Anolis sagrei: one gene and its partners. The protein of the gene in region 2 interacts with the protein of the main gene of each other region in a biochemical or structural test. Links are inferred from orthologs where the notes say so. Each region holds a gene or a part of one and is shown on either strand. Other genes may lie near its edges.

The links.
Region 1: the proteins of BCL2 (region 2) and PMAIP1 interact in a biophysical measurement, tested with the Homo sapiens proteins (2 studies listed by BioGRID and IntAct, with this or other methods). The link is inferred for Anolis sagrei from reciprocal best matches to the Homo sapiens genes BCL2 and PMAIP1.
Region 3: the proteins of BCL2 (region 2) and FKBP8 form a complex in vitro, tested with the Homo sapiens proteins (4 studies listed by BioGRID, with this or other methods). The link is inferred for Anolis sagrei from reciprocal best matches to the Homo sapiens genes BCL2 and FKBP8.
Region 4: the proteins of BCL2 (region 2) and NR4A1 form a complex in vitro, tested with the Homo sapiens proteins (2 studies listed by BioGRID). The link is inferred for Anolis sagrei from reciprocal best matches to the Homo sapiens genes BCL2 and NR4A1.

Annotation. Positions count from the first base shown.
Region 1 is NC_090022.1:281,555,482-281,562,391, reverse strand, and holds the start of PMAIP1 (phorbol-12-myristate-13-acetate-induced protein 1), read left to right. Parts: upstream 1-3,906; 5' UTR 3,907-4,066; coding exon 4,067-4,130; intron 4,131-6,910. UniProt on the Homo sapiens protein: Promotes activation of caspases and apoptosis. Promotes mitochondrial membrane changes and efflux of apoptogenic proteins from the mitochondria. Contributes to p53/TP53-dependent apoptosis after radiation exposure. Promotes proteasomal degradation of MCL1.
Region 2 is NC_090024.1:89,535,796-89,542,764, forward strand, and holds the start of BCL2 (apoptosis regulator Bcl-2), read left to right. Parts: upstream 1-3,956; 5' UTR 3,957-4,964; intron 4,965-5,846; 5' UTR 5,847-6,187; coding exon 6,188-6,733; intron 6,734-6,969. UniProt on the Homo sapiens protein: Suppresses apoptosis in a variety of cell systems including factor-dependent lymphohematopoietic and neural cells. Regulates cell death by controlling the mitochondrial membrane permeability. Appears to function in a feedback loop system with caspases.
Region 3 is NC_090034.1:50,953,211-50,960,981, forward strand, and holds the start of FKBP8 (peptidyl-prolyl cis-trans isomerase FKBP8), read left to right. Parts: upstream 1-4,767; 5' UTR 4,768-4,845; intron 4,846-4,850; exon of another isoform or gene 4,851-4,893; intron 4,894-7,771. UniProt on the Homo sapiens protein: Constitutively inactive PPiase, which becomes active when bound to calmodulin and calcium. Seems to act as a chaperone for BCL2, targets it to the mitochondria and modulates its phosphorylation state.
Region 4 is NC_090022.1:139,197,727-139,205,569, forward strand, and holds the start of NR4A1 (nuclear receptor subfamily 4immunitygroup A member 1), read right to left. Parts: upstream 3,005-7,843; 5' UTR 2,903-3,004; intron 1-2,902. UniProt on the Homo sapiens protein: Orphan nuclear receptor. Binds the NGFI-B response element (NBRE) 5'-AAAGGTCA-3'. Binds 9-cis-retinoic acid outside of its ligand-binding (NR LBD) domain.

The DNA of each region.
Region 1 (6,910 bases), on a different chromosome or scaffold from region 2:
TTCTGCGTAACATAAATCCAGTAACTGGTTTGGCTGCAGCTCCCTTGGACCCAACATCATACCTTCCCCTTTCTCACTTGGTACTATGGGAGGAAGAGGGCAAGAAGCCCTCCATTGCATCCTTTTGTGGCTTCCTTTGTGGCTTCCTGATCTAAAGCTACTTTCGTTTCATCATAGGGAGAAGTGGCACTGTAGAGCGGTGGTGCTCAACCTTCTTAATGCCACAATCTCTTCATACTCTTCCTCATGTTATGGTAACCCCCCAACCATAAAATTATTTTTGTTGCTAATTCATAACTGTCGTTTTGCTGCTGTTATGAATCGTAATGTAAATATCTGGTATGCAGGATGTATTTTCATTCACTGGACCAAATTTGGCACAAATATCCAATGCGCCCAAATTTTAATACTGGTGGGGTTGGGGAGGGATTGATTTTGTCATATGGGAGTTGTAGTTGCTGGGATTTATAGTCCACCTACAATCAAAGAGCATTTCGAACTCTACCAGCAATGGCATTGAGTCAAACTTGGCATACAGAACTCCCATGACCAATAGAAAATACTGGAAGGGTCTGGTGGGTACTGACCTTGCGTTTTGGAGTTGTAGTTCATCTACATCCAGAGAGCACTGTGAACTCAAACAATGATAGGTCTGGACCAAACTTGGCATGAATTCGCAATATGCCCAAATGTGAATATTGATGGAGTTTGGGAAAATAGACCTTGACATTTGGGAGTTGTAGTTGCTGGGATTCATAGTCCACCTACAATCAAAGAGCATTCTGAACTCTATCAGCAATGGAATTGAGTCAAACTTGGCACACAGAACTCCCATGACCAACAGAAAATTCTGGAAGGGTTTGTTGGGCATTGACCTTGAGTTTTGGAATTGTAGTTCACCTACATTCAGAGAGCACTGTGGACTCAAACAATGATGGATCTGGACCAAACTTGGCATGAATTCGCAATATGCCCAAATGTGAACACTGATGGAGTTTGGGGAAAATAGACATTGACATTTGGGAGTTATAGTTGCTGGGATTTATAGTTCACCTACAATCAAAGAGCATTCTGAACACTACCAATGATTGAATTGGGCCAAACTCCCCACACAGAACCTCCATGATCAACAGAAAATACTGTGTTTTCTGATGGTCTTTGGTGACCCCTCTGACACCCCCTCGCAACCCCCCTGGGGTTCCGACCCCCTCCAGGTTGGGAAACACTGCTGTAGAATCAATGTAGTTTGAGCTCCTTCCAATTGCCATGGCTCAAGGCTATGGAATCTTGGGATCTGTAGTTTCCTGAGGTGCCAGCACTCTTGGACAGAGATTAAAACCCCTGAAAGCTGTAACTCCCATACAGCCAGAGCAATTAAATGAGTATCAAACTGCATTGATTCTACGATGCCAGCATGGCTTATGATGAAAGTAATTTGGATTTTGGGAAGCACAATTTGGGTTTCTGAGCATTGCAGAGTTACAGAAAAAGAAATCGAAAATGGGAAGGAAGTTGAGGAGGGAGAAGAGGGCTGGCAAATCTCCCAGGATGCATCTTTGAAGAACAGCATTTCTCAACCTGGGGGCTGGGACCAAAGAGGGGGGGGTCATGAGGGAGATTCAGAGGGGTTGGTGTAGATTAGGCATGGACAAACTCTGGCCCTCCAGGTGTTTTGGACTTCAACTCCCATAATTCCTAACAGCTGGAAGACCCATGTTTGCCTGTGCCTGATGTATATGCACCTCCAATGCTGTGTTATCATAGGATTTGTAGTTTTACAAGGTCTTTATAGTCTTCTTTGCCAAAAAGTGCTGCCGACTCACCAAAATATAGGTCTAAATAGCTCAATGCTCTTAACAGCATTGAGCTATGGAATTGTCAATCTACATTATTTCTATCATGGGAGTTGTAGTTTTCCAAGGTCATCCAAGGAGTGCTGGTCCTCCAACAAACAACAATGTTCAGGGTTGTGTGGGTTTTCCGGGATGTATGTTCATGTTCCAGAAGCATTCTCTCCTGACGTTTCACCTGCATCTATAGCAGGCATCTGGTGTCTAGTTTGCCCACCCCTGGAACATGTAACATATCATTGTCCTTTCAAATCTATGATACTATATCTCTCTGTGTGTGAATTATATCTATCTATCTATCTATCTCTATGGCTGGATGGCTCTTTGTCATGAGGACTTTGATTATGTTTTCTTGTCCTGGTGAAAACATAATGATGGCCTTAAGTATTTTCTGTTGGTTATGGGGGTTTAGTGTGGGAAGTTTGCCCCAATTCTATCGCTTGTGGGGTTCATCATGATCTTTGATTGTAAGTGAACTGTGAATCCCAGCGATTAAAACTCTCAAATGTCAAGGTCTCTTTCCCCCAAACTCCATCTGTGTTCATATTTGGGTGTATTGAGTGCTTGTGCCAAGTTTGGTCCAGATTTATCATGGTTTGAGTCCACAGTGCTCTCCACAGGGAGGAGGGAGCAAGCTTGTTTTCTGCTTCCTTGGAGACTAGGACACGGAACAATGGCTTCAAACTACAAGAGAGGAGATTCCATCTCAACATGAGGAAGAACTTCCTGACTGTGAGAGCCGTTCAGCAGTGGAACTCTCTGCCCTGGAGTGTGGTGGAGGCTCCTTCTTTGGAAGCTTTTAAAAACAGGCTGGATGGCCATCTGTCAGGGGTGATTTGAATGCAATATTCCTGCTTCTTGGCAGGGGGTTGGACTGGATGGCCCATGAGGTCTCTTCCAACTCTTTGATTCTATGATTCTATGATTCTGGATGTAGGTGAACTACAACTCCCAAACTCAAGGTCAATGCCCACCAAACCCTTCCAGTATTTTCTGTTGGTCGTGGGAGTTCTGTGTGGCAAGTTTGGTTCAATTCCATCGCTGATGGAGTTCAGAATGCTCTTTGATTGTAGGTGAACTATAAATCCCAGCAACTACAACTCCCAAATGACAAAATCATAATTTTTTGAGTGATGGTCACTCCTTGTGTTGTGAGACGTTTAGTTGCCAAATTTGGTGTGATTCCGTTCATTGGTTCTTTTGTTTTTAAGGCACAGAGCATTTATAGAAAGATAGATAGAAAGATAGAAAGATAGATAGATAGATAAATAGATAGATAAATAGATAGATAGATAGATAGATAGATAGAAAGATAGATAGATAGAAAGAAAGAAAGAAAGAAAGATAGAAAGATAGATAGATAGATAGAAAGATAGAAAGATAGAAAGATAGATAGATAGATAGATAGAAAAATAGATAGAGAGAGAGATGATAGATAGATAGATAGATAGATAGATAGATAGATAGAAAAATAGATAGATAGATAGATAGAAAAATAGATAGATAGATAGATAGATAGAAAGATAGATAGATAGATAGAAAGAAAGAAAGATAGATAGATAGATAGAAAGATAGATAGATAGAAAGATAGATAGATAGATAGATAGATAGATAGAAAGATAGATAGAAAGATAGATAGATAGATAGAAAGAGAAAGATAGAAAGATAGATAGATAGATAGATAGAAAGATAGATAGATAGATAGATAGATAGAAAAATAGATAGATAGAGAGAGAGATGATAGATAGATAGATAGATAGATAGAAAAATAGATAGATAGATAGATAGATAGATAGATAGATAGAGATTCCTATCCAAACCCAAGTAACGAAGGTGGAGGCATTACTTTTCATTCAACCCTGGTACATTCATTCTGCAGTGTATGGATGGATAATTGGATCAGCTGGGGATTTTCAGGTCTCCTCCTCCTCCTCCAGCCGGCCGGCAACTTGCCCCCACTTGCCCAGGAGAACCCGGCTTCTGATTGGGCGGCGGGCCACCCGAGGGGGCGGGGATTCCTCGTTGACGTCACTGGGAAATCCCCCGGCACTTGCTTTGCCTTGGCGCGCCCGGCAGAGAAGCGGGCAAAACGAGTTGGGAAGGCGAGCGAGAAGGAAGCAGAGCTGGGCCAGAGGAGCCAAAGGAGACCAGCCATTCCTCCTCCTCTCTCTCGAAGCCGGCGGCAGACCAGGACCCACAGAAGGGACCAAAGCGAGATGATGCCGGGAAAAACTCTGCGCAAAGGCGCGCTCCCTACCTCTGCCTCCTCCACGCGGACAGGTAAGGGCGAAACTCCCCTCCTCCCTTGATTCCCTTCGGGTGATGTTGTTGTGCTGTCCTTGTGAGAAAGGCCCAAAAGGGGAACTCCTGGGATTGGGGGGATTGGGGAGAGGGCTTCCCTACCCTTCTGGGGCATCGACTCAATAGGTTCTGGGGTTAAGGGAGCCTCGCAAACACAGAAGGGGATCCCCAGATGTCATCTAGTCGGTCCCCTAGAAGGGCAAAGGAGCCTTCTCCCCTATTTCCCCATCTCTGCTGCTTGTCCTGAGCTCTCCCACTGCACTGGGGTCTCTCTCTTTTACAATTCTCTGGCTGTTGGGTTGCTGTGAGTTTTCCGGGCTGTATAATAATAATAGTTTTAGTAATAGTAATAATAATTATTATTATTTATTTATACCCCACCAACATCTCCCCAAAGGGGACTTGGAACATAACATAAATCCTAATAATAATAATAATAATAATTATTATTATTATTATTATTTATTTATTTATACCCCACCAACATCTTCCCAAAGGGAACTTGGAACTGCTAACATAAGGCCTAATTAATAATAATAATAATAATAATAATAATATATTTATTGATTTATACCCCACCAATATCTTCCCAAAGGGGACTTGGAACTGCTAACATAAGGCCTAATTAATAATAATAATAATAATAATAATAATAATATATTTATTTATTTATACCCCACCAACATCTCCCCAAAGGGGACCTGGAACGGCTAACATAAGGCCTAATAATAATAATAATAGTTATTATTATTATTATTATTGTTATTTATACCCTACCACCATCTCCCCAAAGGGGACTTGAAACGGCTAACATAAGTCCTAATAATAATAATAATAATAATAATTTATACACCACCATCTCCCCAAAGGGGACTTGGGATGGCTAACAAGAGGCCTAATAATAATAATAATAATAATAATAATAATAATAATACACAGTCCTAGATGCTTGGGAAGTGTTCAACTAGTGATTTTGTGATATGAAATCCAGCATATAGATCTCGTTTGCTGTGACATACTGTGCTTTTGTGTCAATAATAATAATAATTATTATTATTATTGTTATTGTTATTGTTATTAATACCCCACCACCATCTCCCCAAAGGGGACTTGGGAAGGCTAGCATGAGGACTAACAATAATAATAATAATAATAATAATAATAATAATTATTATTATTATTATTATTATTTATACCCCATCACCATTCCCCCAAAGGGGACTTGGGACAACTAACATGAGGTCTAATAATAATAATAATAATAATAATAATAATAATAATAATAATTTATCCCCCACCGCCATCTCTCCAAAGGGGACTTGGGTCAACTAGCATGAGGCCTTATTATTATTATTATTATTATTATTATTATTTACACCCCACCACCATCTTCCCAAAGGGGACTTGGGATGGCTATCCTCTATTCCATTGTCTAATTTCCTTAGTAATAGCCCTCATAACCCCTGAGGATGCTTGCCATAGATGTGGGTGAAACGTCAGGAGAGAATGCTTCTGGAACATGGCCATACAACCCAGCAATTGTTAAAACTTTGCCCATCTCTGGTGTTTGTCCTGAGCTCGCCCACTACACAGGGGGTCTCTCTTCAACAATTCTCTAGCTGTTGTTGTTGTTGTTACCACGTGGAGTTGTGGCTGAGTCATACTCTCTCCGCCAAGGAGAAAGGCAATAAATAAATCATGCCAAGACAACACCTTCATAAGGGAGCTAGAAAGCAGAAATGACCTGACTTGACCCATGTCTGATGCTCAATTTTTCCCCTCATATATTATCCACTACTCCATTGTCTAATTTCCTTAATAATAGCCCTCACAACTCCTGAGGATGCCTGCCATAGATGTGGGTGAAACGTCAGGAGAGAATGCTTCTGGAACATGACCATACAGCCTGGAAAACGCAAAGCAACTCAGTAACCCTATCTTCTCCTAGTCATTTATCCAAAATCTTACCTTCTCTAGAGGTAGTTTAAGGCTGGGTCTGCATTGACATATAATCCAGACTATAAACGCTGATGATCCACATTATCTGTTTTGAACTGGATTATAAGAAGCCCCTTCTACACTGGCATATAAAATCCAGATTATCTGCTTTGAACTGGATTATATGACAGTATAGACTCATATAATCCAGTTCAAAGCAGATAATGTGGATTATCTGCTTTGATAACCTGGATTATACGGCAGGGTAGAAGAGACCTGAGTCTACACTGCCATATAATCCAGTTCAAAGCAGATAATCTAGATTTTATACAACAGTGTAGATGGGATCTGAGGGCCCTCCACACAGCCATATAACCCAGAATATCAAGGCAGAATAACCCACAATATATGCTTTGAACTGAGTTATCTGAGTCCACACTGCCATATACCCCAGTTCAAAGCAGATAATCAGGGATTTTATTCATTTGTGTGGAGGGGTTATATGAGTGTGGACTCATATAACCATGTTCAAAGCAGATATTGAGGATTATTTGCCTTGATATTCTGGTTTATATGACTGTGTGGAAGGGCCCTGAGTCTACACTGTCATTTAATCCAGCTCAAAGCAGATAATCTGGGCTACAAATGATGTAAATAAATAAATAAACAAATTACCAGTATATAGCAGTGTAGAAGGGCCCTGAGTCTACACTGCCATATAATCAGCTCAAAGCAGATAATCTGGATTTTCTATGGCATTGTAGATGGGGCCTCAATCTGTTGTTGCTCTGGCGCATGCAGCTGGTAAATGGTATCCATTT
Region 2 (6,969 bases):
TTGTAAAGGTGAGCGGAGCGCGCGCGCGCGCCATCCGGCTCGGGCTCCTGCGCCCCCCTCCTCCTCCTCCTCCTCCTCCCAGCTGTGTTGCAGGAAGTGCTACGAGGAGGAGGAGGAGGAGGACGCAGGAGCCCGAGCCGGATGGCGCGCGCGCGCGCTCCGCTCACCTTTACAACCGGCCTCCGCTCCTGCTGTTAGCCCTGCGCGCCATCCGGCTCGGGCTCCTGCGCCCTCCTCCTCCTCCTCCTCCTCCTCCTCGTAGCACTTCCTGCAACACAGCTGGTAGGAGGAGGAGGAGGAGGTGAGCGCGGGTGAGCGCGCGCGCACCATCCAATCGGCTCCTGCCACGGTGCTGCTGGGGTGCTTGGGAGCGCCTGATTGGTTCCCAGGCACCAGCACATGACCACAGCACTGAAGTCAGCACAGCAGCCGCCATTGCATTTACGAGATGAGCTGAAGCTCGTAAAAAAAATGGGGCTGCTGTTTCGATATTTTCAAACCCTTCCGGGTTTGAAAATATGTTTTGATATCGCTTCGTTTTTAAAAAAAATAACGATTAAAATACGAAAAACGAATTAACGATACAAAACTGACAGGCCTACTATCTATCTATCTACCTACCTACCTTTGAATCCCTATCTAGCATACCTCTTTATTCCTCTCTATATACACAGACATATATCTAACACTCTTATTTCTCTCTCTTGATATCTATCTATCTATCTATCTATCTATCTATCATCTACCGTTTATCTCTCTCTGGATCCCTATCTAGTGCACTTCTTTATTTCTATTAGATACATATCTAACACCGTTTCTTAGTTCTCTATCTATCTATCTATCTATCTCTGGATCCCTATCTAACACACTTCTTTATTCCTGTCTATATACACAGCTACATATCTAACACACTTCCTTATTTCTCTCCCTTGATATATACCTATCCTTCTATCTATCTACCTTTTCTCTCTCTCTGGGTACTTATCTAGTTCACTGTTTTATTTCCCTTTAGATACATATCTAACACTGTTTTTTATTTCTCTCTCTCTCTTTCTTTCTTTCTATCTAACTATCTATCTCTGGATCCCTAACACACTTCTTTATTCCTCTCTATATATGGTACATATCTAACACCCTTATTTCTCTCTTTTGATATCTATCTATCTATCTATCTATCTACCTATCTATCTACCTTTTCTCTCTCTCTGGATCCCTATCTAGTGCACTTCTTTATTTCTATTAGATACATATCTAACACCATTTCTTAGTTCTCTCTGTCTCTCTCTCTACCTTTTCTCTCTCTCTGGATCCCTACCAAGTGCATTTCTTTATTTCAATTAGATACATATCTAACACTTTTTCTTAGTTCTATCTATCTATCTCTGTATCTATCTATCTATCTCTGGATTCCTATCTAACACACTTCTTTCTTCCTCTCTATATACACAGATACATATCTAACACCCTTCCTTGTTTTTCTCTCTAGTTATATACCTATCTATCTAGCTACCTTTTCTTTCTCTCTGGATCCCTTTTTGGTACACTTCTTTATTTCTGTTAGATACATATTCAACACTGTTTCTTAGTTCTCTCTCTCTCTCTGGATCCCTATCTAACACACTTCTTTATTCCTCTCTATATACACAGATACATATCTAACACCATTCCTTATTTCTCTCTCTTGATATCTATCTATCTATCTACCTACCTACCTACCTACCTACCTACCTTTTCTTTCTCTCTAGATCCTATTTAGTACACTTCTTTATTTCTGTTAGATACATATCTAACACCATTTCTTATTTTTCTATCTATCTGTTTGTCTCTGGATCCCTAACTAACACACTTCTTTATTCCTCTCTATATACACAGATACATATCTAACACCCTTCCTTATTTCTCTCCCTTGAAATATACCTTATATCTATCTACTTTCTCTCTCTCTCTGGATCCCTATCTAGTACACGTCTTTATTTCTGTTAAGATACATATCTAACACCATTTCTTATTTCTTTCTCTTGATATCTATCTACCTTTTCTCTCTCTCTGGATCCCTATACAGTACACTTCTTTATTCCTGTTAGATACGTATCTAACACAGTTTCTTATTTCTCTCTCTTTCTGTCTAACTATCTATCTCTGGATCCCATCTAACACGCTTCTTTATTCCTCTCTATATACACAGATACATATCTAACACCCTTCCTTATTTCTCTCCCTTGATATATACCTATCCTTCTATCTATTTACCTTTTCCCCCTCTCTGGATCCCTATCTAGTACACTGTTTTATTTCCTTTAGATACATATCTAACACTGTTTTTTATTTCACTCTTTTTCTATCTAACTATCTATCTCTGGATCCCTTCTAACACTTCTTTATTCCTCTCTTTATACACAGATACATATCTAACACCCTTATCTCTCTCTTTTGAATATATACCTATCTACCTACTTACCTACCTATCTTTTCTCTCTCTGAATCCCTACATAGTGCAATTCTTTATTTCTATTAGATATATATCCAACACCATTTCTTAGAGCTCTCTCTCTCTTCCTCTTATCTCTCTCTGGATCATTATCTAATACACTTCTTTATTTCTATTAGATACATATCTAATACTGTTTCTTAGTCCTCTCTATCTATCTGTCTCTGGATTCCTATCTAACACACTTCTTTCTTCCTCTCTATATACACAGATACATATCTAACGCCCTTCCTTATTTCTCTCTTTAGATATATACCTATCTATCTAGCTACCTTTTCTTTCTCTCTGGATCCCTATTTAGTACACTTCTTTATTTCTGTTACGATACATATCTAACCATTTCTTAGTTCTATCTATCTCTGGATTCCTATCTAACACCCTTCTTTCTTCCTCTCTATATACACAGATACATATCTAACACCCTTCCTTATTTCTCTCTGTAGATATATACCTACCTATCTATCTAGCTACCTTTTCTTTCTCTCGCGATCCCTATTTAGTACACTTCTTTATTTCTGTTACGATACATATCTAACCATTTCTTAGTTCTATCTATCTCTGGATTCCTATCTAACACCCTTCTTTCTTCCTCTCTATATACACAGATACATATCTAACACCCTTCCTTATTTCTCTCTCTAGATATATACCTACCTATCTAGCTAGCTATCTTTTCTTTCTCTCTCGATCCCTATTTAGTACACTTCTTTATTTCTGTTACGATACATATCTAACCATTTCTTAGTTCTATCTATCTCTGGATTCCTATCTAACACCCTTCTTTCTTCCTCTCTATATACACAGATACATATCTAACACCCTTCCTTATTTCTCTCTGTAGATATATACCTACTTATCTATCTAGCTACCTTTTCTTTCTCTCTCGATCCCTATTTAGTACACTTCTTTATTTCTGTTACGATACATATCTAACCATTTCTTAGTTCTATCTATCTCTGGATTCCTATCTAACACCCTTCTTTCTTCCTCTCTATATACACAGATACATATCTAACACCCTTATTTCTCTCTCTAGCTATATACCTATCTATCTATCTACCTTTTCTTTCTCTCTGGATCTCTATTTAGTACATTTCTTTATTTATATTAGATATCTAACACCATTTCTTAGTTATCTCTGTCTATCTCTGGATCCCCTACCTAACATACTTCTTTATTCCTCTCTATATACACAGATACATATCTAACACCCTTCCCTACCTACCTACCTACCTATTATTATTATTTCGGATCTATCTATCTATCTATCTATCTATCTATCATTTATCTATCTATCCTCTCTCTCTCTCTGGATTCCTATCTAGCCCTCTTCTTTACTTCTCCCTCTCCCTTTTCCCCTTCCCCAGGGCCAACCCACCCAATGAATGGAGCGGGGGGTTTCGCGCTTTGCCGCCTTTTTGGCCCGGGCGACCCTCCTTCCCTCCTTTCTGCCTCCCTCCCAGGGCGGACCACCCAGCCTCGCGCCCGGCCCTGGAGAAACCCGGGCAGAGCGAGGCAGAGAGAAGGAAGGCGCAGCAGCCATGGCGGGTGTGTGAATTGCAATGAGTGCCTGGGAGGGGGAAAGAGGACGGGCGACAGAGGCGGCGGCGCCTTTGACGGAAGGAATCGGCGGCTTCCCTCCTTTCCCTTCCCTTCCCTTCCCCTCCCTTTTTTTTCTTGAATGAACCGTGAGGTGGGGCTAAGAAGCAAGGCGCTCCCCTCCTCCGTCTCCTCCCCCTCGGGCTGCAGCCACATTCAGAGAGAGAGAGAGGCAGAGGGAGAGGGGGGACCGACCGGCCTCCCCAGCAGCACAGGAAAAGGAGGAGCAGGAGGCCGCTGGGCATTGGGGTAGTGGAGGGGTAGTAGTAGTAGTAATAGTAGTGAAGGGCATTGGGGAAAAAGCAGGAGGAGGGAAGGGAAGCAGTCAAGACCCGCCCCATTCTCCCCCTCCTTTGCCTTATGGGATATTTAAAAAGGCAAAGAAGGGGAACCCTCCAACTACTTTCTTTTTGAGTTCTGCAGTCCAGAGTTTTCAATCAGTCCAGACTGGGAGATCTTGAGCTGCTGAATGGAGACCCCGCAGCACCACCACGCTGCCCTGGGAAGCTCTCTCCCTCATTCAAAAAGCCTGCCTTGAACTATGCCTTTCCCGGATCCTTTGGCTCCTTTCTGCTTCTGCTTCTTCTCGCCTTGTTGGTGGTTCATCCCACCGCCGGCTTGGCTTCCCTGTCCTGAAAGTTAGGAGGCCGGCTTTCTGAGTTTTGACATCTCCTTGGAAATGTCACTCAAACAGGAGCCTTGGAAGCGTTTTTGGAAATCCCAACAGTCCTAAAGAGGTTGAAAGCTGCTTTTCCATCTTTTGCTTTTTCTGGTTTGGACTCCTCCAAAAGACCCTTTTGCATTTTCCCCTCATGATGTTTTTTCGGTTCTATTTTCCAGTAAGGAAACTTCACAGAAAATGATATTTCTCATCCAAGTAAGTATCTTAAATTGGTGGGATACTTTGAGTAACTTAATGTTATTATAAAGAAAAGAGGGGAAAATCCACTGGGGACTTTGAGGCCTCTTCCACACAGCTGTATCAAATCCACTTTGAACTGGATTATTTGGCAGTGTGGACTCAGATAACCCAGTTCAAAGCAGATAGTGTGGAATTTTTCTGCCTTGATATTCTGGATTATTTGGCTGTCTTGGAGGGCACTGAGATATGTAAGGCACCTTCTACACAGCTGTATCAATTCTGCATTGAACTGGATTATGTGCCAGTGTGGATTCAGATAACCCAGTTCAAAGCAGGTATTGTGGGATTTTCTGCCTTGATAGTCTGGGTTATATGGCTGTGTTGAAGGACCCTGAGATTTGTAAATCCCCTTCCACACAGCTGTATCAAATCCACATTGAACTGAATTATAAGATAACCCAGTTCAAAGCAGATATTGTGGGATTATTCTGCCTTGATATTCTGGGATATAGGGCTGTGTGGAAGGGCACCGAGATATGTAAGGCCCCTTCCACACAGCTGTATCAAATCCACATTGAATTGGATCATATGGCAGTGTGGACTCAATTCAAACCCAATTCAAAGTAGATATTGTGGGGTTTTCTGCCTTGATATTCTGGGTTGTATGGCTGTGTGGAAGGGCCCTGAGTTGAATGTGCTTTGCATGCATTTGCATTGGAGGTTGCTCAGCGTAGTAAATCATTTGGAATGGCAGGGTTTGGTGTTTTGTTTTTCTCTTGGGGAAACCATGTGTGTGCGTGTGTGTACACCATCCTCTTCATTCATGTCCTAGCTCAGAAGGAAGGGAGGGGGAAAGTGCACCTGATGTCAAATAAGTGTCTGTTTTTCTTATTTTAGTTGCATTTCTGCACGAAGGAAGGAAGGCTTCTGAAAACAGACTTCTCATGATAAATATTACCTGTGGAATACAGTATTGGCTGCCTTTGAAATCTGCTTTCCATCGTGGATCACAAACTGAAGAGGAAACGCTGGGAAGGCGGAAATACCTTTGAGACCCCGAGGACTCCCCCACACCTCAACCAATGGAACTGCATGGAGTGAAACAACTGGATTATATATAAACACCGGCACTTATTATTACTGGCTGCTTTTTTCCCCCCTCTGGGTCGGTGGGGGACATTTCATCTGCTTCTGTGTCTTTTTTTCCACCACCCTCATCCTACCGCTTATTGTCCACCATGGCTCATCCTGGGATAAGAGGTTACGATAACAGGGAAATCGTGCTGAGGTACATCCATTACAAGCTGTCGCAGAAAGGATATGACTGGGTTGCCAGTGGAGACAGAGGAAACCTTGCTGCTGCTGCTGCTCCTGCTGCTCCAACTGTGCCAGCATCTCTTTCTCCAGAGCTGCCCAATTCTGCTCCTGTGAGTACCAATGCCCCCGAGGAAGAACCGGACCGGGTGCCACAGGTTGTCCACACAACGTTACGCCAAGCCGGAGACGAGTTCTCCCGGCGCTATCGGAGGGACTTTGCTCAAATGTCTGGCCAGCTGCATTTGACCCCCAGCACTGCCAGAAGTCGTTTTGTGGCCGTGGTGGAAGAGCTCTTTCAAGACGGAGTGAACTGGGGGAGGATTGTGGCATTCTTTGAATTTGGTGGCCTGTTGTGCGTGGAGAGTGTCAGCCGGGAGATGTCCCCCCTTGTGGACAATATTGCTGTGTGGATGACAGAGTATCTGAACCAGTACCTGCACAACTGGATCCAGGAGAACGGAGGCTGGGTAGGTGGCCATTGTGTCTTTTTTTGTTTCAAGGTCATACATCACTGAAATGCCCATTCCGGTGTCATGAATGACTTGCGTGACCAGTGGTTCCCAGTGTGGTGTCACTTGTTTAGTTGTTTCAAGGGTGTTTTGCTTATTCCGAACAAGTTATTATAGATAGCAGCCACCTAATATTGATGTCTTAACACTAAACACCCGTCTTATACGTTCGCACTTCCCAGTGGTCCTGTGGA
Region 3 (7,771 bases), on a different chromosome or scaffold from region 2:
CCATGCAGTCATGCTGGCTACATGACCTTGGAGGTGTCTACGGACAACCCCGGCTCTTCGGCTTAGAAATGGAGATGAGCACCAACCCCCAGAGTCAGACATGACTGGACTTAATGTCAGGGGACAACCTTTACCTTACCTTTTAAGCTGCCTTGAGCCTCCTTTGGGGTAGAGAAAGGCGGGGTGTAGATAGCACCCCCGAAAGATGGCTATCCAACCTCTGTTTAAAAGCCTGGTAGCTTAATATACATGGACTTAGTTTCATGTGCAACAGTCTTCAGACTTATGTGTATAAGGTGTATATGAAACATCAATGTAAATACTGCATCTTAACTCTTGTAAAAAAAAATGGAACTATCCCTTTCTCTGAGTGGTGAAAGGTGACTCATTTTGGCTCTCCTACCTGCCTTTGACTTATACATTGAGTTTGACTTAGACTTATACCAAAGTACATATAGGCATATAAACAAATATAAAAGAAAAAGGAGAAAATATAATCATAGAATCATAGAGTTAGAAGAGACCTCATGGGCCATCCAGTCCAATTCCCTGCTAAGAAGCAGGAAAATTGAATTCAAAGCATCTCTGACAGATGGCCATCCAGCCTCTGTTTCAAAGCCCCCAAAGAAGGAGCCCCAGCCACACTCCGGGGCAGAGAGATCTTTTTCACATGCACTTCTGAAGATCTGGTATATATGTTGTGCATTGGCATAACGTTGTCCTTAACAGTTCAAAGAGATAACCAGGGATTTCAGTTTAACAGCTGAGAAGCCTAAATTGCCTTCTGTCAAGGGTATTTTGATTGTGCTTTTCCTGCATGGCAGAATGGGGTCAGACGAGATGGCCCATCGGATCTTAGAATCATAATCATAGAATCATAGAGTTGGAAGAGACCTCAAAACCATCCAGTGCCAAGCAGCAGGAAAATTGCATTCAAAGAGCATTCTCCCCATATTGCACTTTCCCCCAACTTATTGAAAGTTTAACTCCACTGTTCAGTCCTCTACGAGCTCCTTCCCTACAAATTGCACTTTTCATTGCTATCTCATCTAGTGTTTTATAATTTTATGTCAAACATCTGGCCTACCTATTGTGTTTGATTTTATATTATGTTATTTTATATTATTTATTTTATTTTATCGGTTTATTTTTACTGTGATGTTATTTTTTTGTTTATATTTTATGTTGCTGTATTGTATTGTACTGCTGTTGAAACATTCACACCTAGCTCCAACAGACAAGAGTCCTTTGTCCCACCTTGGTCATTCCACAGATGTATAAACCCTTTTTCCTAGTTCCAGCAGACCTCACTACCACTGAGGATGCTTGCCATAGATGCAGGCGAAACGTCAGGAGAAAATGCCTCTAGAACAGGGGTGCACAAACTTTTTAAACAGAGGGCCAGGTCACAGTCCCTCAAACTGGTGGAGGGCCGGATTATAATTTGGAAAAAAATGAATGAATTCCTATGCACACTGCATGTATCTTATTTGTAGTGCCGCATAGGGAAGCTGATGAGGAAACACAACATACAAACTATCTACAGACCCACCAAGAAAATCCAACAAATGCTACGTTCAGCAAAGGACAAAAGGGATCCTCTCACCTCTGCAGGAGTCTACCGTGTACCATGCAGCTGTGGACAAGTCTACATAGGGACCACCAAATGCAGCAGTATTGCCCAGACACGCATCAAGGAACATGAAAGGCACTGCAGACTACTTCAACCAGAGAAATCAGCCATAGCAGAGCACCTGATGAACCAACCTGGACACAGCATTTTATTTGAAAACACAGAAATGCTGGACCACTCTCATAACCACCATGTCAGACTACACAGAGAAGCTATTGAAATACACAAACATGTGGACAATTTCAACAGAAAGGAGGAAAGAATGAAAATGAACAAAATCTGGCTACCAGTATTAAAAAACTCTAAAATTGCAACAGCACAACAGAGGAAACAGGCAAGGACATCTACCTCTCAACAAAAGCTTGCCCCAGGCGCGGTCAGGCCATTGTATGCTAATCATGGTGGTCAGTTGGAACATTCACACCTAGCTCTAACAGAGAAGAGTCCTTTGTCTCACCCTGGTCATTCCACAGATATATAAACCCTTTTGCCTAGCTCCAACAGGCCTCACTACCTCTGAGGATGCTTGCCAAGTGCAGGCGAAACGTCAGGAGAGAATGCCTCTAGACCATGGCCATACAGCCCGAAAAAACCTACAACAACCCAGTGATTCCGGCCATGAAAGCCTTTGACAATACATTGGTGTGCACCCTCTGGGTTCGTCCGCTTAACCAATTACAGATCCACCTAACCGTAGTTTTGGCTAGCCCACATTGGACTAGTTTGCCAGAAGGTCATGGGGGACCTTGTTGAAGGCCTTACTGAAATCCACAGCATTCTCTGCACCTACCCAGCTTGTAACTCTAAATTGTAAGCCTAAATTGCCTTCTGTCAGGGGTGTTTTGACTGTGCTTTTCCTGCATGGCAGAATGGGGTCTCTTCCAACTCTATGATTCTATGACTTCTGTGCTCAGTAGCCCACAAACCTCACAAGGATTGCCCCTTGTGAAAGCCAACAAGCCCTTCCCAATAGGAAACCCCCTCCTTTCCAGCTGACAAGTCTTTGATTCTATGATTCTATAAGTCTGTATCTGTGTTGGCAGAAGAGGACCCTTCCCAAACTCCGCCCCTTCCCCAAGCTCCGCCCACAACCCCGCCCCCTGAGACACTCCATCGGGTCAGGCCCCGCCCACTCACTGTTCCCCAATGGCCATTTTGGCCCCGCCCCCGACGCACCTGAAAGAAGCTCCAAAGCCAAAAGCTCACATCCCTGACGCGACCGAGGCCTGCGCTGAGAGAGAGCGCTTCTTCCACTCAGCCCCACCGGAAGGCTCCTTTCCAACAGCCTCTAACGGCTCACTTCCGGGTGGGGCGTGGCTACGCGCTGACATAGGCTTTGCGTCCCTGGACGTGCCCTGCGTGGTTACCCTAGCAATGGTGGACCCGCCTGCGCTTTGCTTCCTACTCCGTTGGCTCCGCCCCCGCCGCATTTTCATTGGGGGATAAAAAGAGGGCTAAACCACGCCCTCTCTATGTTATGGGAATGCAATAACACAGATATTAGATTTATTCATTCATCGATTTTTTTGGATTGATATCCCGCTTCATCTTTTCAGAAAACAATAAAATAGTATTGCCATTTTTATATTATTATATATTATCAGCAGTAATATATTTCATATATTAGTGTTATATTGGTATTATATAGTATTATATTACATTATTAATATTATATGAATATATAATATATAATAATATTAGCATAGCACAATGTTAGTATTATATATTGTTATATTGTATTATTAATATTATATGAATATATAATATATGATGATATTAGCATAGCACAATATTAGTATTATATATTATTATAGTGTATTATTAATATTATATGAATATATAATATATGATGATATTAGCATAGCACAATATTAGTATTATATATTATTATAGTGTATTATTAATATTATATGAATATATAATATATGATAATATTAGCATAGCACAATATTAGTATTATATATTGTTATAGTGTATTATTAATATTATATGAATATGTAATATATGATATTATTAGCATAGCACAATATTAGTATTATGTATTATATCATATTATTATTAGTATTATAATGTATAATATTATTATTAATATTATATGTCAATATAAAATATTATATTATTCTTCCAGTTAAAGTATTACTTCATTCTCTCCACTGAGTCATCCTGAATACGCAGATTCATTTTAAAACCTCGGATCGGGGCAAAGGTCAGTTTGATGGGAACTGTAGTCTGTAAAGACCTTAAGGAAAAGCTGATGGGAACTGTTGCCTGTAAAGACACAAAGGAAAGCTTGATGTGAACTGTAGTCTGTAAAGACTTTAAGGAAAAGCTGATGTGAGCTGTAGTCTGTAAAGACCTTAAGGAAAAGCTGATGGGAACTGTAGCCTGTAAAGACACAAAGGGAAGGATGATGGGAACTGTAGTCTGTAAAGACACAAAGGAAAGCTTGATGTGAACTGTAGTCTGTAAAGACCTTAAGGAAAAGCTGATGGGAACTGTAGCCTGTAAGGACCCAAAAGGAAGGATGATGGGAACTGTAGTCTGTAAAGACATTCAGGAAAGGCTAATGGGAACTGTAATCCGAAAGGGTACAAAGGGAAGGATGATGGGAACCGTAGTCTGTAAAGTCAAAGGGAAGCTTGATGGGAACTGTAGTTTAAAGACACAAAGGGAAGGCTGGTGTGAACTGTAGTCCAAAAGGACATAAAGGCAGATTGGGACTGTAGTCTATAAAGACCCAAAGGGAAGACTAATGGGAACTGTAATCTGAAAAGACACAAAGGCTGATGGGAACTGTAATCTGAAATGACACAAAGTCTGATGGGAACTGTAGTCTGTAAAGAAATTAAGGAAAGGCTGATGGGAACTGTAATCCGAAAGGTCACAAAGTCAAGGCTGATGGGAACTGTAATCTGAAAAGACAGAGAGGCTGATGGGAAATGTAGTCTGTAAAGACATTAAGGAAAAGCTGGTGAGAACTGTAATCACAAAGAGAAGCCTGATGAGAACTGTAGTCTGAAAAGGCATAAGTAGAAAGCTGGTGGTAAATATACAGTCTGGGGATGGTCACTGTCCCTTTAAGAGGTTGCGCAATGGGGGTGTGCGGAGGTCAGGCTGGAGTGGCAGCTCTCGCAGCCTATCAGCCGCCTCCTCGGCCATCAGCTGATGGAAAGAGAGGCGGGACCAAGGAAGTGAGCAATTCCTGGGTCCAGGTGAGTGTTTTGCAAGCAGAGGAAAGTGAAGGGGGATTGGAGATTGGGGTAAAAGCCATGCCATTTCCTGCCCACCCTACTGCCTTTGCATTGCAATGGGTCGCTTCTCTCTTCTGCTTGCAATGGCTTGCAAGATGAGTGCAAGACATTCAGAATCTGGCTTCTCTCCTGCTTTTAATTTCTTCCTCCTTCCACCCAGCATAATGTCTACAGTCTTTAGGTTTCTCAATGTGTTTCAATCTCTGCCCTGTGTACTCCATATGCATTTGATAGAATTGGTATATTCTAGAACTAACATTTTAATACATGCGTTTATGGATTTTTTTTCTTGCAATGTTTGTGTGTTTTGACTGTGCCGTGAACCGCCATGAGGAAATCATAAAATTATTATTATTATTATTATTATTAAATAATATATTAGTAATATATACACTTTATATTATATGTATTTTATTCTATTATTCCTATTTTAATATTATATTTATATCCTCCTTTCTTCTCTTATAATAATAATGCTAATAATAATTGTATATTAGTAATATATACGCACACATAATATTATATGATATTAATTATATTTTATTTATTTAATTTTATTCTTATTAGTAATATTTGTATCCCACTACTCTTATTATTATTAAATTGTGTATTAGTAATATATGCACACTCATAATATTATATGATATTAATTCTATTTTATTTATTTTATTTTATTCTTATTAGTAATATTTGTATCCCACTTCTCCTATTATTATTAAATTGTATATTAGTAATATATGCACACCCATAATATTATATTAATTATATTTAATTTAATTTATTTTTATTAGTAATATTTTAGCACTATATTTATATCCCACATTCTTCTCTTATTATTATTATTATTATTAAATTGTATATTTATAATATATAAAATATCCTCAGAAGCACTTTAATTACCCGTTGGGTTGCTCTCTACTTTTGGTTTAATTACATCTGGCCCAGCCATAGGTTTTGAAATCATTGTGTGTTATTGTCTATGTGTGAGTTATATTAATTGTATTATTTATTTTGCTTATTGCTTGTTGTTTTTATCGATGTGTTGTTGGGATTGGCCTCATGTAAGCCACTCCAAGTCCCTTGGGGAGATGGTAGCGGGGTATAAATAAAGTTTTATTATTATTATTATTATTATTATTATACATATATTATATTGTTTTATATTAATTTTATGTCTATTAGTAATACTAGCTTGGGGACTCGGCGGTCCACGAGTTATTTGAAAAAAGCATTGTTTAATGTATTATCGAAGGCTTTCATGGCCGGAATCACTGAGTTGTAGGTTTTTTCGGGCTATATGGCCATGGTCTAGAGGCATTCTCCTGACGTTTCACCTGCATCTATAGCAAGCATCCTCAGAGGTAGTGAGGTCTGTTGGAACTAGGAAAAAGGGTTTATATATCTGTGGAATGACCAGGGTGAGACAAAGGACTCTTGTCTGTTGGAGCTAGGTGTGAATGTTTCAGCTGACCACCTTGATATAATGGCCTGACAGTGCCTGGAGCAAACTTTTGTTGAGAGGTGATTAGAAGTCCTTTTTTGTTTCCTCTCTGTTGTTGTTTGTTGGAGGCAAAACAGAACATCTAGGATGAATTCGTCTCTGAATGAAAGCTTTCCTTGGGTGTCGTGCAGTATGGTGTTTGGGGACGACATTGCCAGGGGTAGGGAAACATGTTCATAGTGCCCACTCTAACCTGGAATGTCAGTGGAGGGAGGGCAATCGGTGCTTCCTGCATAGTGGGAACTATAGCCTTTGTGGAGGCAGGAGGCTGTCTGTGTAACTGGACACCTCCACCACATACAGTCATACACATTTTCACTTTTATTATGTGTATAGATTAGTAATACACACACACACACACACACACACATAATATTATATTATACTAATTTTATTATTTTATTTTATGTAATGTTATTACTGGTTTCATGTTGTTGTATTTTCTTTTACTTATTACTAGCTTGGGTGCCTGGCATTGCCCATGTTATTTGAAAAAGTCAGTTTTGTAAATGTCCTAAATGCATAAAGTTGTGGGTGAACTACAACTCACATCATGCCAGGTTAACCCCGAGAAAGTCCATCAGTACTTCAAGTTTGCTATGTTTGCTCCGAGTTTCTCAACCTGGGGGTCGGGACCCCTGGGGGGGGGGTCGCGATGGGGTGTCAGAGGGAACGCCAAAGACCATCAGAAAACACAGTATTTTCTGTTGGTTGTGGGGGTTCTGTGTGGGAAATTTGGCCCGATTTTATTATTGGTGGAGTTCAGAATGCTCTTTGACTGTAGGTGAACTATACATCCCAGTAACTACAACTCGCATATGTCAAGGTCTATTTTCCCCCAAGAGCACCTCCATTTATTATTATTACATTTATTATTTTACTCTAATGATTATTATTACATTTATTATTTTGCTCTATTATTGTTATTATTACACTTATTATTTCACTCTATTATTATTACATTTATTATTTTACTGTATTATTGTTATTTTTTATTATATTTATTATTTTACTCTCTTTATTATTATTGGAAGTATACGAAAGCACATTTACACCGAAGAAGGTTAGAGTAATGGTTTAATCAGAGTTGGACAGCCTTATCCCCAAGCTCCACCAGTTTTATGCAAATATTTTACAAAAACAAATATGTAAAAATTACAGTTTTATGTAAATACTAGCTGTCCCCTGCCACGCGTTGCTGTGGCCCACATGGGGGTTCTGTGTGGGGGGTTTGGCCCAATTCTATCATTGGTGGGCTTCAGAATGCTCTCTGATTGTAGGTGAACTATAAATCCAAGCAACTACAACTCCCAAATGTCAAGGTCTGTTTTCCCCATGCTCCACCAGTATTCATATCAGGGCATATTGAGTATCCGTGCCATGCTT
Region 4 (7,843 bases), on a different chromosome or scaffold from region 2:
CAATGTTAATACAGATGTAATTGTTATTGTCAGTATATTATGTATATAAATTCACTTTGGTCTTAAATTCCAACTTCCGACTTCTGGCCATGTATGCACATGTGGGTGTGTGGGTGCATATTTACAGGTGTGTGGGGTGTGCATCATACTCAAAGCTCTAGATCAGTGGTTCTCAACCTGTGGGTCCCCAGATGTTTTGGCCTTAAACTCCCAGAAATCTTAACAGCTGGTAAACGGGCTGGGATTTCTGGGAGTTGTAGGGCAAAACACCTGGGGACCCACAGGTTGAGAACCACTGATCTAGATCCTAGGAGGGAAACTGTGGAAGGGATGGAAGCCATATGGTGACTCAAGTCCCAACATGACTGAAAATGATACCTCCTTTATGATTCTGAAAATCGGTCCAAATACAGATGGTTCCTAAGGGGGGATTTTTTTGTGGTGATCTGGTATGTTTTTTAGCTGGGAAAGATCAAAATGCGAAAGTCTTCATAGATTATCATGTGACCCACAGCTTGCACATCTTTGCTTCAATTAATATTCAGAGAATCTGAGGAGGCATATCATATTCCACAAAACATTGTGCTGTGTGAAATCTGTCAACCGCAACACTTGTTTCAGGTCCAACCGAGGCACACAGCTTCCACCTTTGGAAAACATCCAGACATGGGTCAATTTTTACCTGATGCCAAGGCAGGCGCAAGGAACAATTCTGATGGAAGAGGAACAAAACCAGCTGTACTTGAACATTTCCATTTGTACACAGGAGTGGGAGGCAAAACATTTTCAACTATTTAGATTGGAAAACTCTTCCAATATATTTTTTAAAAACATCTTGGGCTTTGCAAATTCCAGACAGAAAGGGATAACCGCCTAGAAGAGGTCTAATGTCTGTTTAGGGCAGGCATGGGCAAACTTCAGCCCTCCAGGTGTTTTGGACTTCAACAGCTGTTAGGAATTATGGGAGTTGAAGTCCAAAACACCCAGAGGGCCAAAGTTTGCCCATGCCTGGTATAGCAGAAAGCACCAGTCTTTTCCCGTAGTTGAGAGAGATCAACTCCCAACCAACACAGATCCTAGTCCTGCATGTTTATTCAACAGACAAGCCAATAGAATCTAGTAAAGGAGGGGATACTATGTGCACCCCCAAATCTCACCATTTACCTATAAAGCCCTAAACGGTTTGGGTCCAGGCTATTTGTCCAATCATATCTCCCTATACAGACCATCCTGTGAACTGCTGTCAGTGGAGGAGGCCCTGCTCTTGGTCCCACCCCTGAATCAAGCTCTGTTGGTGGGAACGAGAGAGGGGACCTTCTTTGTGATCACTCCCTGTCTCTGGAACTCCCTCCCTAAAGAAATAAAAACAGCCTCCACCCTCCTCTCCTTTAAAGAACTTCACATTGTTTTGAAGATGCACTTTAGCATATGGAGAGGAGAAGGACTAAGATACTATTCCACCGGAACACTGGCAAACCTGTTTGCATTATATGATGGCTATGATACATGTTAATAAACACCTGTGTTCGCCATTTCATATGCAACTCATGTCTAACTGTTTTTAATGATTAGGTGTTTGGAAAAATAATGCTAATTCCCCCTCTCATTATAAACTATTTAGATGGGAGCTGGAGACAGAAACAAAGAAAATCAAAATTATGAATTCTTAGGGGTTTATTGTAGTGTTTTAAATGTTTTTAATTGTCTTAATGTGTTTTATAATTCTATTTTTAAAAGTTTATTTTAATTGTCCATTGTTTCAAGACATCAAATAGTCACCTATGTGTAAAGTTGCTTTGAGTCAAATCTGGGATGGAGAAAGGTGGGATAGAAAGATCATACATTAATAAATAATAATAAATTTATACATACAGTCTTGGGACTTGTAGTTTCCCAAGAAAACTCTGCTAAAGGGAAACACTGGCTTCAAGTTACAAACAGTAAGGCTTGATCTGCAGCCTGAAAGCACTTGAGTGGCCATGGTTCAATACTATGCAGTTTTGGGATTTGTAGTTTCCCAAGGTCTTTAACCTTCTCTGCTAAAGAGAAACACTGGCTTCAAGTCCCAGAAAAAGTAAGGCTTGCATCTACACTGTAGATCTGATCCAGCCTGACAGCACTTTAACTCCCATAGTTCAATACTATACAGTCTTGGGACTTGCCGTTTCCCAAGGTTTTTAACTTTCTCTACCAAAGGGAAGCACTGGCTTCAAGTCCCAATGATTAAAGCTTGCATCTAACACTGTAGATTTGATCCAGCCTGACAGCACTTGAATTGCCATGGTTCAATACTATACAGCCTTGGGACTTGTAGTTTCCTAAGGTCTCTAACATTCTCTGCCAAATGGAAAAATTGGCTTCAAGTCCCAAAAAAGTAAAACTTGCATCTACACTGCAGATTTGATCCAGCCTGACAGTACTTGAACTGTCATGGTTCAATAGTATATAGTCTTGGGATTTGTAGTTTCCAAGGTCTTTAACCTTCTCTGTCAAAGAAAAACTCTGCCTTCAAGTCCTAAAGAGTAAGGCTTGCATCTACACTGTTGATTGAATCCAGCCTTACAGCACTTGAACTGTAATGGTTCAATACCATACAGTCTTGGGAATTGTAGTTTCCCAAGGTCTTTAACTTTCTCTGCTAAAGGCTTCAAGTCCCGAAGAGTAAGGCTTGCATCTACACTGCAGATTTGATCCACCCGAGAGCACTTGAACTGCCATGGCTAAATACTATATAGGTCTTGGGACTTGTAGTTTCCCAACTTTCTCTGCCAAAGAATATTGGTGCCTCTACAAGTTAACAACTCTCAGGATTCCAGATCATTGAGTGGTGGCAATTACAGAGGTGTCAAACTGCATTCATTCCTTGGAAGGTTAGCCAATCAAAACAGGGGATGGCGCTCACCTGTTGGGCGCTGGAGGTGCTCCGTCTCTGCCTGGGCGCCATCGGGGACCCGTCCCCCGCGGTGGCTACTCGCTTTCTCTCTCACTCTCTCTCTTCGTGGATATCCTTCCCTCTGCGGCTGCTCTCTCAGCGCTCTTTGCAAGCGCGCGCTCCTTGCCGGCCGCTTTAGTGAGTGCTTTCCCGCAAGCCCCGCCCCTTTTCTCCCGGGCCCGGCCAGCAGCCTCCGTGACGTCAACGCCGAGCTCCATTGACGTCGTCGGAATCCCAGCCATCAATGGGGGCTAAAAATAGGCAGGCGCGCGCCCGGCGGAATAAGCGCGAGGCTCTCCGCCCCCGCCTCCATCCAGCCAGAGCCGGGCGAGCCTATTTCGGGCTTGTGGCGAGCGGAAGCCGAGGCCTCGCCCCCTCCCTCCTGCGAAAGCGTGGAGGAAAGGGAAGGGGCGCCTTTAAGAGGGACCCAACCCCTTCCCTCCCTCCCCCCCCCCCCTCTCTTATGGCCCATCACAAAAGGTAAGTGCCTTCTATCCCCTCGTGCCAGTAAGTGCATCTACATTGTGGAATGAATGCAGTTTGACCCCACTTCCACTGCCAAGGCTCAGTGCTATGGATTGCAACGATTTGGAGAGACAGCAAACGACAACTTGTTCCATCTTGTCTCCTGTGCTTTACTAAAAATATAATATAATATATTGTATATACATATAATATTGGTAATATTATAATGGAATACAATATAACACTACTACTACTAATACAATGTTATAATTGTATATTTTATATTACATGTAATATTTACAATATAATGGTGTAGTACAATATTAGTAATATATAATATTATATATATAATATATAATATTATATATATTAGTAATATATATAATAGGGTGGCGCAGTGGGTTAAAGCACTGAGCTACTGAGCTTGTTGATCGAAAGGTCGCAGGTTCGATTCTGAGGAGCGGCGTGAGCTTCCGCTGTCAGCCCTAGCTTGTGCCAACCTAGCAGTTCGAAAACATGCAAATGTGAGTAGATCAATAGGTACCGCTCCGGGGGGAAGGTAACGGCGCTCCATGCAGTCATGCTGGCCACATGACCTTGGAGGTGTCTACGGACAATGGTGGCTCTTCGGTTTAGAAATGGAGATGAGCACCACACCCCAGAGTCAGACATGACTGGACTTAATGTCAGGGGACTACCTTTACCTTTACCTATGTAAGAGGTTTGTGACATGCCTTTTGAACCTTAAAGATGGCTCACAGTCATAAAATAGTAGAGAGTATTAAAATACAGCTAAAATATAGCATGTTCTTTCCATGTTATGTCTACCTCTGGTACCAAAGTCTGTGTTAAAAGAAGTCTTGCCTAGGAACAGACATGACTGGACTTAATGTCAGGGGACTACCTTTACCTTATAATATTGATACTGTACTATGCTAATAATATACTATTGTATATTATGGCAACAACTCTGATTGACAACTGGAAAATAGAGGAAGAAAATGTGGAGGCCATGACAGACTTTGTATTTCTAGGTGCAAAGATTACTGCAGACACAGACTGTGGCCAGGAAATCAGAAGACGCTTACTTCTTGGGAGGAGAGCAATGTCCAGTCTCGATAAAATAGTAAAGAGTAGAGACATCAGACTGGCAACAAAGATCCGCCTAGTCAAAGCCATGGTATTCCCTGTAGTCACCTACGGATGTGAGAGCTGGACCTTAGGGAAGGCTGAGCGAAGGAAGATCGATGCTTTTGAGCTGTGGTGTTGGAGGAAAGTTCTGCGAGTGCCTTGGACTGAGAGAAGATCCAACCAGTCCATCCTCCAGGAAATAAAGCCCGACTGCTCACTGGAGGGAAGGATACTAGAGGCCAAGATGAAGTACTTTGGCCACATCATGAGGAGACAGCAAAGCCTAGAGAAGACAATTATGCTGGGGAAAGTGGAAGGCAAAAGGAAGAGGGGCCGACCAAGGGCAAGATGGATGGATGGCATCCTTGAAGTGACTGGACTGACCTTGAAGGAGCTGGGGTTGGTGACGGCCGACAGGGAGCACTGGCGTGGGCTGGTCCATGAGGTCACGAAGAGTCAGAGACGACTGAACAAATGAACAACAACAAAATGTATATATATCTTATAAGCTGCTCTGAGTCCCTTTCAGGTTGAGAAGGGCGGCATATAAATGTCGCAAATAAATAAATAAATAAATAAATAACTCTCAGGATCTGACATACTGAGCCATTGCAAGTTAAAGTGGTATCAAACTGCATTCATTTACACTGTAGATCATAGGCTGTATGGAATTGTTGGAGTCCAAAACACCTGGAGGGCCGAAGTTGGCCCATGCCTTCTGTAGATGCAGCCAGTACTTGCTGCCTATTGTCCACTGAGTTTTGATAGGGTTTTCTTGGGAGAGCAATATTCAGAAGTGGTTTCTCTCTCTCTCAGGGCCCTTCCAGACAGGCCCTATATCGCAGGATCTGATCCCAGGTTTTCTGTTTTAAACTGGATTATATGAGTCCACACTGCTAGATCATCTGGGATAAACAAAAAATGTGGGATCAGATCCTGGGATAAAGGACCTATCTGGAAGGACCCACAGCCTCAGAGGAAGGCAAGGGCAAACTTCCTCTGAGCACATATTGCAAAGAAACCCCTATGATGATGATGATAATAATAATTTAATTCCTTACCCGCCTCTCCTTGTGGCTCGAGGCAGTTACAGCATAATTAAAACACATAAAAGTTAAGTAAATGTTTCCCCTTGACATTAAGTCTAGTTGTTTCTGACTCTGGGGGTTGATGCTCATCTCCATTTCTAAGCCGAAGAACCAGCATTGTCCATAGACACCTCCAAGGTCATGTGGCTGGCATGACTGCATGAAGCGCTGTTACCTTCCCACAGAAGTGCTACCTATTGATCTACTCACATTTGCATGTTTTCAAACTGCTAGGTTGGCAGAAGTTGGGGCTAACAATAGGAGCTCCCCTTGCTCCGCGGATTCGAAACGCGGACCTTTCACCAGTAGGTTTGGCAGCTCATGGTTTAACCCGCTACACCACCAGGGGCTCCAAAACACATAAACACACACACACACATTAAGATATATTTCTATAAAAGATATATATTAAATTGTATTTCTATAAAATATATATTAAAATATACAAACACAGAATAATATGATGGGGTCACCATTGGTTGAAAACGACTGGAAGGCATGCAACAACAACCTGGGCTTTAGCACAGCGGGTTAAACCACCAGCCACAGAAAATCTTGCCGGTTGTGACCTCCTGGACTTCTTCAAGCTTGGGTTAGGGAGAGCTCCCAACCATCAGCCCAGCTTCCACTCACCTAGCAGTTCAAAAACAGTAATGTGAGTAGATAAATAGGTACCGCTTTGGCGGGGAGGTAATAAATGACGCCATGCGGACATGCCAGCAGTTCAATTGGGAGAGCGTCTAAAGACAACAAAGCTCCTCAGAATGGAAGATGGAGCAACAGCACCTCCCATGGCCGGTGTCAAGCACAGCCTCCAGATGCTGGAGATGGAAAAAAATGGGAAGCCTTTACCTCTGTTTATGTCCTGTCTGTCTGTGTTAATTGTATAATGGCACTGAATGTTTTCCGTATATGTGTACTGTAATCTACTCTGAGTCCTCTCGGGGAGATAGAGTGTAATATAAATAAAGTATATTATTATGATTATAGCACACACACCCCAAAAGTACATGGCTGCAAACCTCAAACCCCCCCCCCCCCCCCCGCGCTTGGGAGTCAGTGGCATTCAGTGCTGCGAGGCTTATCTCTGAGTATAGGAAACGCAGGTTGAAAAGTATTTTTAATGCAGACAGGAAGTACAGTCCAATGTGTCATTAATCTCAGTGAGTCCAACTGGGCTTCCTTCCAAAAAACTGTGTATAATGTTGACCATTAAGCACTTAAGACATATGGTACACTACTGCTATTCTACTTCTCTGTAAAGGTACTGGGATTGTGTTGTGAGGCTGCTGTTTTGAATGCCATTAAACTCAATCTAGTATCCCCCCCCCCCCAGTGCATCTACACTGTAGAATTAATGCAGCGTGACACCACTTTGCCATGACTCAGTGCTTTGGTTCCTTCCACACACACAGCCATATAACCCAGAATATTAAGGCAGAAAATCGCATAATATCCTTTTTGATCTGGGTTATCTGAGTCCACACTGCCATATATTCCAGTTCAAAGCAGATAATGTGGGATTTTATTTATTTTATTGTGTGGAAAGGGCCTAGGAGTTGTATTCTGACAAGTTCTTTAGCCTTCTCTGCCAAAGAGTGTTGGTAATTTACCAATCCACAGATCCCAGGCATGGCAGTTCAAGTGGTGTCAAACTGCATTAATTCCGTAGTGTAGATACACCCTTAGTAAACAGAGGTAAGAGCGGCTGGTTGGATGGGGAAAAATATGGGCAGGACTGCCACCTGTGCCTTTAAATATACTCTAGTGACTGTTGGGAAAGAGAGGTTATTATCTTATGTGTTTTTTCTGAAGCCCTTTCCACACAGCTGAATAAAACTCCACATTATCTGCTTTGAACTGGGATATATGGAAGTGTGGACTCAGATATTCCAGTTCAAAGCAGATATTGTGGTTTATTCTGCCTTGATATTCTGGGTGATATGGCTGTGTGGAAGGGCTCTGAGAGTGGACCCAGCCAAGAGGAGGACTGGCGGCGACCTTCCAAGATCACGAGATTCTTATTTTGCACTAATCTCCCAAATCCAGGCTTGTTCCAAACGTCTGCAGTTTTACAAAGATTGCATTTTTGCACATGAAGCTTAAAGTGAGTAAAATCCCTTTGTAATGCAAATATTAAAGCTATGTGGGCCAACATATCTCTTCCCTCCCCCTTTTCTGACCTCCATCAAAAGGGATCACATAACTGCTCACATAAAGATGGGAG